2 linked regions of the Cricetulus griseus genome follow. Each later gene encodes a partner of the first gene's protein in a complex. Links are inferred from orthologs where the notes say so. Each region holds a gene or a part of one and is shown in the gene's direction. Other genes may lie near its edges.

What was found.
Region 2: the proteins of Atp7a (region 1) and Atox1 are in contact, whole or in part, in an NMR structure (PDB 2K1R), measured with the Homo sapiens proteins. The link is inferred for Cricetulus griseus from reciprocal best matches to the Homo sapiens genes ATP7A and ATOX1. Residues at the interface, in NP_000043.4 of Homo sapiens: Cys19, Asn20, Ser21, Cys22, Trp24, Thr25, Gln29, Asp67, Asp68, Met69, Gly70, Phe71, Asp72; in NP_004036.1 of Homo sapiens: Thr11, Cys12, Gly13, Gly14, Cys15, Ala18, Arg21, Val22, Lys25, Lys57, Thr58, Gly59, Lys60.

Annotation. Positions count from the first base shown.
Region 1 is NC_048604.1:64,651,114-64,656,271, reverse strand, and holds part of Atp7a (copper-transporting ATPase 1), read left to right. Parts: intron 1-177; coding exon 178-411; intron 412-1,494; coding exon 1,495-1,586; intron 1,587-2,480; coding exon 2,481-2,608; intron 2,609-3,659; coding exon 3,660-3,814; intron 3,815-4,012; coding exon 4,013-4,147; intron 4,148-5,158. UniProt on the Homo sapiens protein: ATP-driven copper (Cu(+)) ion pump that plays an important role in intracellular copper ion homeostasis.
Region 2 is NC_048600.1:69,641,027-69,646,833, reverse strand, and holds the start of Atox1 (copper transport protein ATOX1), read left to right. Parts: upstream 1-2,022; 5' UTR 2,023-2,225; coding exon 2,226-2,294; intron 2,295-5,807. UniProt on the Homo sapiens protein: Binds and deliver cytosolic copper to the copper ATPase proteins. May be important in cellular antioxidant defense.

The DNA of each region.
Region 1 (5,158 bases):
GAAGATCTTATCAAGTTCAAGGTCAGCTGGGATACATATGAGGTTCTATAACAACAACAACAAATCCTCTTAGTGGCAAAGGATGTAAACATTGATACTTTATGCTAAGCTCATTTAGGTATACATATGAATTTCAGTGTCTAAGGAAATTCAGTAATTATCACTCTTCTGTTACAGTTTTGTGGAGGCTGGTACTTCTACGTTCAGGCTTACAAAGCACTGAAGCATAAGACAGCAAATATGGATGTGCTGATTGTGCTGGCAACTACCATTGCGTTTGCCTACTCTCTGGTTATTCTTCTGGTCGCCATGTATGAGAGAGCCAGAGTGAACCCTATTACCTTCTTTGATACGCCTCCTATGCTCTTTGTGTTTATTGCCCTAGGTCGATGGCTGGAACATATAGCAAAGGTAAAGTAAGAAAGGTGACATTTGTTAAAATATTGGATCAGTCAAACACCTTCTTATGATCTCTGTGAGTTCGAGGCTAGCCTGGTCTCCAGAGCGAGTGCCAGGATAGGCTCCAAAGCTACACAGAGAAACCCTGTCTCGAAAAACCAAAAACAAAAATCAAAAAACAAAAAAAAACAAAGACCTTATTTTCTAGACTGCTTATTAGAAATGTGTATTGATTTTTATAGTTAACCATTTTAGTTTTAGCAGTATCTATTGAATATCCATGGTACTTTATGAGAAACATTTGAGACGTACTTATTTGTTATACCAGATTATTAATTGAGAATTGATTTGGCCAATTGGCTTAAACCTGATGTCAAAGTTCATTCATGCTCCCATGTTGTGATGAAAGTCAGTTTCTAATCCTGTTCCATGTAACTTTATGTTTAGCAGAGTAGAAAAAACTATACAGTTTTTTCCCTGACTGTAGTCTAGACAATCACTTGCTTTTTCTGTTAGGTCACTGTGCTCTTATTTACTAAACCATTCTTTTCAATTAAAATTTTTCCAAATTTTTCTTTTAGATAATCCTAAGATGAACATATTCATGTCTAATAGTCATCTCCTGTGATCTGACTACCTTGGGAGTAATTAGAAAGGATATGGTACTGTCTTAAAGGGCATATATCTTTCCATGCTCTCATGCTATAAGCTGTAGGAAATTTTGCCAGTGAGGGTCTGTCAGTCTTCAACACTGCATCTTATCTAAATTCTTGCTAAGTTAGTAGATGAATTACAAGATGGCTTTAGTTTGAGTTTCTGAATAATCATTTCCCCATATGTTGAGTATTTATAGTCCCTGTTGAATGATCTACCTATTCATGTGCTTTGCTCATTTATGAATTAGATTCCTGATATTTTTCTAATACTTGTATTTCTTTATAAATTACACCTAGTACTTTTGAATGCTTTTCATAAGATATTTATTTTCCAATGAAAATTTGTTTCTGATTAAATGTTTCAAAGCTGATGTTTGAGTGAATGTTAAAGGTTTGAACAGTTTCTTTCTTAGCATCATTATTGTGTTTTAATTTATAGGGCAAAACCTCAGAAGCTCTTGCAAAGCTAATTTCACTACAAGCAACAGAAGCAACTATTGTAACTCTTAACTCTGAAAATCTCCTCCTGAGGTATTTATCTTCATTTCCTTTTGTAACTTGTCTTAAACATTTTATTGTGGTGTGTATACATATGCCTTGGCACATGTGTGGAGGTCAGAGGACAGCTTGTGGGAGTTTCCTCCTTCCATGTAAGCCCTAGGGATAGCACTCAGGTTGTTAAACTTGGCAGCAAGCACTCTTACCTGTTGAGCCAGCTTACTGACCTTCTTTTGTAACTTCTTATGGTATTTTTCCCTTTAGTGATTCCTCCTTTGACTAAAGGAGAAGGTAAGGAAGGAAGGAATGAAGGAGCTGTTCTATTTAAGAAGAAACATAAGATACCTTGTGACAATTATGTATAACTACTGAGTGTCTCACGTAACACAGGCTGATCTTGAGCTCACTGTATATAGCTCAGAATGACTTTGAACTCATGATTCTCCTGCCTCCACTTCCCAAGTTCTGGGATTAACACTGTATGCTACTATGGTATTATTTTTTAAGCCTTCAATTATTCAGTGATTATTGATTTGTTTTGTTTTGTTTTGTTTTTTGAGACAGGATTTCTCTGTGTAACAGCCCAGGCTGTCTTGGAACTCACTTTGTAGACCAGGTTGGCCTCTAACTCATAGAGATATGTCTGCCTCTGCCTCCTGAGTGCTGGGATTAAAGGTGTGTGTCACCACTGCCCATTCAGTGATTATTGAATAAATATGTAGAGTGTCTGCTTTGGGCCAAAACTTTGTGCATTACTACCAGTGAGCAAAACTGATATAAATAGTTGTTTCTAGCATAAATGTTGCTCCTAGGTTCTGTTGGTAATAATTATGGAGCTATAAGCTTGGCATGATCTCCAAATTGTGTGTGTGGAGGTTAGACTAAGAAGCAGATGCCATGACACTTTTTATGTTAACTCATGTGCAGTGAAGAACAAGTGGATGTGGAACTTGTACAGCGTGGAGATATAATTAAGGTGGTTCCAGGAGGCAAATTTCCAGTGGATGGCCGTGTTATCGAAGGACATTCTATGGTAGACGAGTCCCTCATCACAGGTACGTTCTGTCAGAGGATCATGACATGAAAGTGAAGTGAATCCAAAGTGATAATGAAAAGCAGACACCAAAGGAGAACCAATAAATGTATAAATAATGAGCAAAGAATATGAGTTCTTTAAAGACTGCCTTCAGTTTCCTCAGGGTTACTATGTTTTTAGGTATGTTGTTGAAGACTAAACATTGAAGATTTCTTTTTTTTAAAGATTTATTGATTTTTATTTTATGTGTATTAGAGTTTGGCCTGCAAGTGCTCCTAACATGCTGAACCATTGCTCTAACACCCACACTGAAGAGTCTTAATTACTAGAATGCACAAGAACAAAGTTATTCAGTGCCTTGTAGAGCCAGGTTGACTTTGGCAAATATCCCAGAGCAGATAAATATTCTGTTTTCCTGCCTAAGCAGCTGATGTAGTCAAAGCTGGGCCAGAGTTCGAAGTTTTCCACATCAGGGCAGCTTGAAGAAAGCAGGCAGGACTGGAAGATGTTTAGAAATCTTGGCTAACAGAGTCCAGTGTGGATCAGAATCAAAAATAACACCTCTCCCACCTCTGGTAGTCGTAGTGGATGCTCAGTTTATTTATTAATTCAGGACGCTGTTTCCCCGTGGTCTGCTATTGCCAGTTTAGATGAGAATTTTTTTTTAGTTCTATGTCTTGAGCTATGTAGTATAATTTAGTGACCCTGATCCTGGCCTACTAAGCAGTAGTCTCGGCGCTCTACTCCCATCCAGTGTTACAAAGAAAAATGCCCTCCCACATTTCAAAATGCCCCTTAAGAACTTCTGCTCTACGAGTAGAATGAAGCTCCTAAAATATCTGTGGACAAGAGCTAACATGGTAAGCTTTTCCAGTTCAAGGTCTACATCCCTGTGTTTGGCCTAAAACTAAGGTGAGAAAAAAGGAAGGGCAACTTTTACCTTTGCAAGTGTCTAGATTCTAGTTCGAGAAGAATGTCTTTTCTAGGTATTTGTTGACACTGAATTAATAAACATGTTTCAAGAGGATACTAATCATTTTTGTTGTCTGATTGTTTTCCTCTTCCTTCAGGGGAGGCAATGCCTGTGGCTAAGAAACCTGGCAGCACGGTAATCGCAGGTTCCATTAACCAAAATGGATCCCTCCTTATCCGAGCAACCCATGTTGGAGCAGACACAACCCTTTCTCAAATTGTCAAACTTGTAGAGGAGGCACAAACATCAAAGGTAACCTAGTCCCCTAGGAGCAGAAGGTATTTTCTTTAAAGCTTCCTACTATGAATCTTGATGTGTATTTTCTTTTGATCTAGTTGCATTCATGTGAAGTTTTATTAAAATATTTCTGTCTATGCTAACTACCAAATATATTCTGTATTTGAAAAAAGACTTAAAGACACTCATTATTATTATTATTCTAAATTCTAGGCTCCTATCCAGCAGTTTGCAGACAAACTCAGTGGCTACTTTGTTCCTTTTATCGTCTTGGTTTCCATTGCTACCCTCTTGGTGTGGATTATAATTGGATTTCAGAATTTTACAATTGTGGAAACCTACTTTCCCGTAAGTGACTTGCAACAACTCTTGACTATATTCAAAACATTTTGTGAATCTTTTGTAGAATTAATTAAGTAAAAATAATTTTGAGGAGCTGGAGAAATGGCTTAGCAGTGCACCTGCCTACACTGGGCAAATTGCACCCATCTGTAACTACAGCTACAGCACAATTTGATGCCTCTGGCTTCTGAGAATACTTTCACTTATCTTCACATAACCACAAACAGATACAGACACATAAGAAAAATAAATAAATGATTTTGAACCAGGTGTCCTGGTGCATGCCTATAATCTTAGCACTCAGGAGGCAGAGTCAGGCAGATCTCTGTGAGTTTAGGGCCAACCTCTACAAGTATCAGGCCAGCCAGGGAAGAACAATGAAACTTTGTCTCATAACAAACACACTTTGGAAATGAACAATACTGGCTGAGAATGTAGATGGTATAATGATGCCCAGCATTTGGTAGGCCATGTGTTTATCCTCAGTATCAAAAAGAGCCATATCCTTTCTTCTATTCTCCCCCTGACTCAAACTTTCTGCTCCCTCATGACCTCTGCATCCCTCCTCTTCTTCCCTTCTCATTCTCATAGCTCCCTCCCCCCTCTTCCCATGCTCTCAATTTGCTCAGGGAATCTTGACCCTTTCCCCTTCTCCAGGGGACCATGTATGTTTCTCTTAGGGTCCTCCTTGTTTACTAGCTTCTCTGGCAGTGTGGATTGTAATCCTTTACTCTATGTCTAAAATCCACATATGAGTGAGTACATGCCATGTTTATCTTTTTGTGATTAGGTTACCTTGCTCAGAATGGTTTTTTCTAGTTCCATCCACTTTCCTGCAAATTTCAAGATTCCATTGTTTTTTTTTCTGCTGAGTAGTACTCCATTGTGTAAATGTACCACATTTTATCTATCCATTCTTGAGGTGAGGGGCATCTAGGCTGCTTCCAGTTTCTGGCTATTACAAATAGTGCTGCTATGAACATCACTGAACAGATGTCCTTGTTGTATGAATGTGCT
Region 2 (5,807 bases), on another chromosome or scaffold:
CCTGGACAGACAGATGGAGGTTCTTGTTCTCTAGAAGTCAAGAGTCCAGTTGGGGAGAAGAGCAGAGAGTGGTATTAGTTCCCTTGTAAGGGATGCAGGTGTTTTTCCAGTAGCCTCCCAGCCAGACTTCTAAGCCAGGACCCAGGCACTCTGCATTCAGCGGGTCACGGCTGTGCCCTTCCTAATAAGGCTTTGAGCTCAGTTTGGGACTGGCGTGCAGGGGACAGGACCTACTTCTTGGACACCATGTCTCAGCTTTCTGGATGGTGGAATCTTACATCCACCACACTTTTGTATCTGGGGTGGAGGGGGCGGTGCTTCGGATGTGGTATTAGGTAGGCTGACCTTGAAGTTCCTGCACTCCCCCTGCTTCCAATTCCCAAGTGATGAGATTACAGGTGCTCACCCTGCCCAGTCTGCTATATTCTTAGTTATTTTAGTTCATTTGATTTAAGACAGGTTCTTGGGTAGCTCAGACTGGTCTCCAATTCATGATTCCCTTGACTCTCAGCCACCACCCCCCCAATCCACCTATTCTTTGATTCTTAGGCTTTTTCCTGTTAGCCAACTTCTCATAACTTCTGTGTACAATAAATTGCCTGGTTTTCTGACTGAACCCATCTTGATACACAGAATGACAAGTTGCCTACTTAGTTTAGGGATCTTCTCTTAACCTTCTGCTCAAGGAACATAAATGGCTGGTGGTGGAGATCAATCTAGGCCATCAGTAGTCATCTAGTGGCTCCTGCTGGCACTGCTGAGAAAACCCATCTTCAAGGGTATTGGATTACCCATGTAGTAACTCAACTAACCATGGCAGCCATAATTGCATGGGAATAACACTTGCATTCTCACAGGTTTTTTTGTTTTTCTTTAGGATAGGAGTGCTGGTTAGATTTTTGTAAACTTAACACAAGCTAGAGTCATCTTGAAAAAGGGACTGTAATTGAAAAATTGGTTTCATCCAATTGGCCTATAGGAAGGGGGAGGGGAGGAAGTTTCTCCCTCCAGAGTGCTGAGAATAAAGGCCCCAGCTACCTTGAACTCCGGATCCTCCCGCCTCAGCTTTTTCTGTTGTTTTAATTTTTCCTTGGCTTTTGGCTTTGTTTTTAAGATGGTTTCTCTGTACAGCCCTGGCTATCCTGGAACTCACTCTGTAGACCAGGTTGGACTTGAACTCAAGAGACCCTCATGTCTTTGACTCTGGAATGCTGGGATTGAAGGTGTGTGCCACCACAACCAACTCTGCCTCAGTTTTTCAAGTGCTGGGATTACAGGCGTGTACCTATATGCCTAGTGTCTTAAAAGAAATGGATTTCTTTTATTTTTCCTAATGTTTTTCAGGATAAGGTCTCATGAATTCCATGAAGGCCTTGAACTCTGCAGCCCAGGGTCCTGAACCAGGAACCCTTCTTTTCTGAGCCTCTCTCTAGTAGCTGGAACAACAGGCCTGCAGCCCTAGGCTAGCCCACTCTAGTGTAGCAAGGAATGCCGGGATCCATCCTTTCTAGGAGTCTTGATCTTGCATTCCCAGTGAAGAGCGCAGTTTCACGTCCTAAGATCTCATGTGACAACTTCGGGCAAGTCTCAAAACAGTCCAGTCCCTCCGGCCCCTCCGGAGGGCCAGTGACTAAGCTTCAAAGAGGCGGGGCCTAATAATATATTGAGACTAGAAAGAGGCGGGAACTAAGTGGAGGCCAGCCCAGGGGGCGGGGCCAGGCTGTAATTCAGCCGAAAGGGACGGGAACTAAGCAGAGCCTCCCTCAGGGGCGGAGCCTTGCCATAGCTGAACCCGGAAGGGGCGGGGAGTAGGCGGAGCCCAGTCCTAGGGCGGGGCCTAACAGTAGGCTGGGTCGGCTTGAAAGTGGGGCTTCCAGGAACGCTCTCCGGAAGCGCCGCATTGCTGCCCCGGGAGAGGCGTTCCAGTCGTAGTCGCTGCCGCCGCCTTCCCAGCCTGTGCCGCGTCAGTCATGCCGGTAAGTGGCCTTGCCGCTCCACCCGTGCGAACCGTTTTCTCCGGCCCGATGCACCGCTGCCCGACCAGACGCTGCTATTAGGGCGCGTGCCATGGCCGGAGCTGCAGTCATGCTTTAGTTTACTCTCCCTCCGCACTCGCCCTCCAGCTTCGCGACCCTCGGGAAACCTGTAGAGAGAACTGTATTGCAGAATATAGGCCTCAAGATCGCTCTAGAGAGTCAAGGAGCAGCCCCAATCTTCCCTGCACGATGGAGAAACTGAAACCGGGAGGTAGGGCAGAGAACCCGCATCGGGACGCCGGTACCTGCCCTTTCCAGGTGCATGCCCCTGCCGCCGAGCTAGTAGGTTTTCAAAGAAGTAGGTCTCTCCACCTCCCCTGCCCACACTGGCCTGCTTCCACTTCAGCCCTGGGCAACCCTGAACCGAAAGGATACTTTCCTCCTTTCCAGCCAGGAGTTCCCAAAGCTCGGAGCAGAGTTTCCAGAGCCAAGAGCAGCGCTTACCTTGCCTTTGAAATCACCCACTCCTGTGCATGGTGGTTTCTAGCCTCATAGCCTCATTGCTTATTAATAAAGGCCTTTGGAACATTACACAAGATAAGAAAAAGCCCAGTGTTTGTTGGAGAGTATTTATTGGGCGCTAGTTGGGCGCTAGGTAGATAGGATCCAGGATGAAGCCAGATCACCTGGGAAGTGCTGGGCAAAACCAGTTGTACTGCTTGCCTTTGAGCTCTGATCTGTGTTGAGTTCCTGAGATAATGGTTAGGGCCTTGGAGTCGGGAGCATTTTTCTCCTGGTGCCTCTGAACCCAGTGGGCATATTTTAGCGGGCTTATCGTCTGTGAGTGAACCAGAGGCTCCCACCTGATGCAGACTTAAACATCTCAGGTGGCACTTGTGGTTCTTACCCTTTGTCTTGAGAGACTTTTCCTCAGATCGCACAAAGCACAAACAAAAGACTTGATAAAGTCCATCCTACCAGTCAAGCCAGTCTGTCCTGCAGTGTGAGGCTCATTCATAACCCTGGGATCCCAGAGTCAAGGCTGCCAGGCTCTCCTGGGGAGAGCAGTGAAGAAAATAACTTGCAGACCCCTCTATTCTGTGTCTGCCTCTGGGGACTTTCATTGGAGTGAGGCATATAGTAGACACCTTAGCTCAAGACCAACAACTAAAGGTATCTTTCAAGTGCCGCCTCCAGTCTAGCCAGGGGAATGAGTTTTACCAAAGGTGGTTTGCATGCCAAAGCTTAACCCAGTCTATGCCCTATGGCTTGCCAGCTGGGCAACTTCAGGCAAGATGTTCTGTCTCTCTGTGTGTGCCTTCCATCTCCTCATCCATAAAATAGGGATTGGAAACTGACCTTGCAGGGCTGTGTTTGGTATTAACTAGAATGATGTCATCAAAATATCTAACACAACTAGTGACCCATCCGGTCCCCAAGGAGTGGTGTACCTCCTGTGTAGATGTAGGACAGGCTTCCACCCCATTTTAACGTGGACCTCAGTGGTTAAAAGTTAGAGTTTTGTGTACTCTGTCCAACCCAGGCCCTGTTACTCATGAGCTGCATCTCCCTGAGTCAGTACCCAACCTCCAAGCTTCAGCTTTCTCATCTCTTGGGAATAGGAAGAGTTTCCTGGCTTATGGAAGCATTGTAGCTATCAAACAAGACAGTGTACAAGGTGTTTAGAAGAAGGCCTGGCACATCAGAGATAATTAGATATTAGTAATCAGGAATCCAGACACCAGTGTCCAAAGACACAATGTTCTCTAGAAGAACTTCTCCTCTTCCATTCCCACTGTTCCAGTTCTAGAGGGTCTGTTAAAGAATTGTACCACTTACCGGCTCTCTGAAGTAATACTGTATGTAATAATACATAATACATAATACAGCGTGTTGCCGTAGAACATTAATATATACGTCAGAGGATCCATTTTGCTTGTTTTCTGTTACAGCATCTCACACTGTAACTCAGGTTGGCCTATAAGTGAATATGTAGCCCAACTGATCCTTGTAGCAATCCTCCTACGTAGGCCTCCCAAGTGTTAATTTGGGGCCTGTGTATGCTCTGCCATTCTTCCATGACCCTTTTGTAAGAGGCACTGGGGAGACATCCAGGGATGGAGCAGGTCTTGAGATAGTCCTGTGAAGACTGGATCACCCTATCCATTAGGCAGAACTTTCTGTCATCCTCAGGTGTAAACTGCAGAGTTTGTAGGCAGAGGTGTAGGGAGTTCTGAGTTGGAGTGGAGTGTTGGCCTCCTGTGAGCTGCCCACCCCCCCACCTCTGTACTGTGAAAGACTTCCTTGTTAGGGTCTTCAGTTTGGAGCTCAGATAACTGTTGACTTTAGATCCCTGAGCAGCAATTACTTATCTTCTGAAACCCCCTTCAGAGATTCTTCTCAGAGTCAGTTTGTGGAGGATGGGCTGTTATAAAACCAACAAGATTTCCCTGGAGCAAAGAAAGCCTCTCTAGGGCTCCTGCCTTTGCACCCATGGCCTCATCACCTTAGTGACCTCCCAGCAAGAGGAAATGAATAGTTCTGTTTTCAAGCTAGGAAAATACTGCAGAAAGGAGTTTGAGGGTGGTAGGATGGGTCAGCTGATAAGGATATTTGTAGCAAGCCTGATAGCCTCTGACATCCACACTTACTCAATGGCACACACTCACACATGCAAATAAGTGGATAAGTATAGTATACTTATTATCTTTTAGGTTTATTTGTGTGAGCGAGAGTGCATGCGCACCATTTATGTGCAGAGATAGAAGAGCTTCAGATTCCCTGGAGTTGGAGATACAGGTGGTTGTAGTTCAGGGAACCAAACTCAGAACTTCTGGGAAAGTACAAGTAGTCTTAACTACTGAGCTGTCTCTCTAGCCCTATTTATTATTTGAAATGAAATATTTTTTATTATTTATTTAAAAATTAGTTGTTTTGTTATTGGGGGGGTGGGGAGATTGAGACAGGGTTTCTCTGTGTAGCCCTGGTTGTCCTGGAACTCACTCTGTAGACCTCTGGCCTCGAACTCAGAGGTCCGCCTGCCTCTGCCTCCTGAGTACTGGGATTGAAGGCATGCACCTGGCTTTTATTTGCTTGCTTGTTTAGGTTTTTCCGGGCAGGGTTTTTCTGTAGCTTTGGAGACTGTTATGGAGCTCGCTCAGTAGACCAGGCTGGCCTCGAACTCACAAAGATCTAACTGTCTCTGCCTCCCGAGTGCTAGGACTAAAGGCATGCACTGCCTAGTTCCTGCTTTTTTTTTTTTAATTATATGTATATGTGTTTGTCTGTGTGGGTATGTGTACATAAGTGTAGGTGCCTGTGGAGTCCAGAAAAAAGCATCAGATCCCCTGGAGTTAAGAGTTACAGGCTGTTGTGAACCTGATAATGTAGATGCTGGGATTCAAACTTAGGTCCTTTGGAAAAGCAGTATGTGTTCTTAACTGCTGAGCCATCTCTCCAGCCCCCAAATGTAATTTTCAATATCATGTGCTTGTAGCAAGTGTAGCCTAGTTTATTTGGTAGTGCTGGAGATTGAGCCTAGGGCCTTAGGTCATGGCAGGCAAGCTTTATACCACTGAGCTACAATCCTTCAGAAGGTAATAGTGCTAGCTGCTCTTGCAGAGGAGCCAAGTCCAATTCCTGTCACCACAGAGCAGCTCACAGCTACCTCTAATCCAGTTCCAGGGGATGCTACATATCTGAGTTCAGGGAAGTCCTGGTGTGCACAAACTCATGAAGGTACACACATATACACATAAAAAGAATGAGTAAATTTTTTTTTTTTTTTTAAGAAGTATGCTGGATACAGCGGTGCATGACTTTAATCCCATC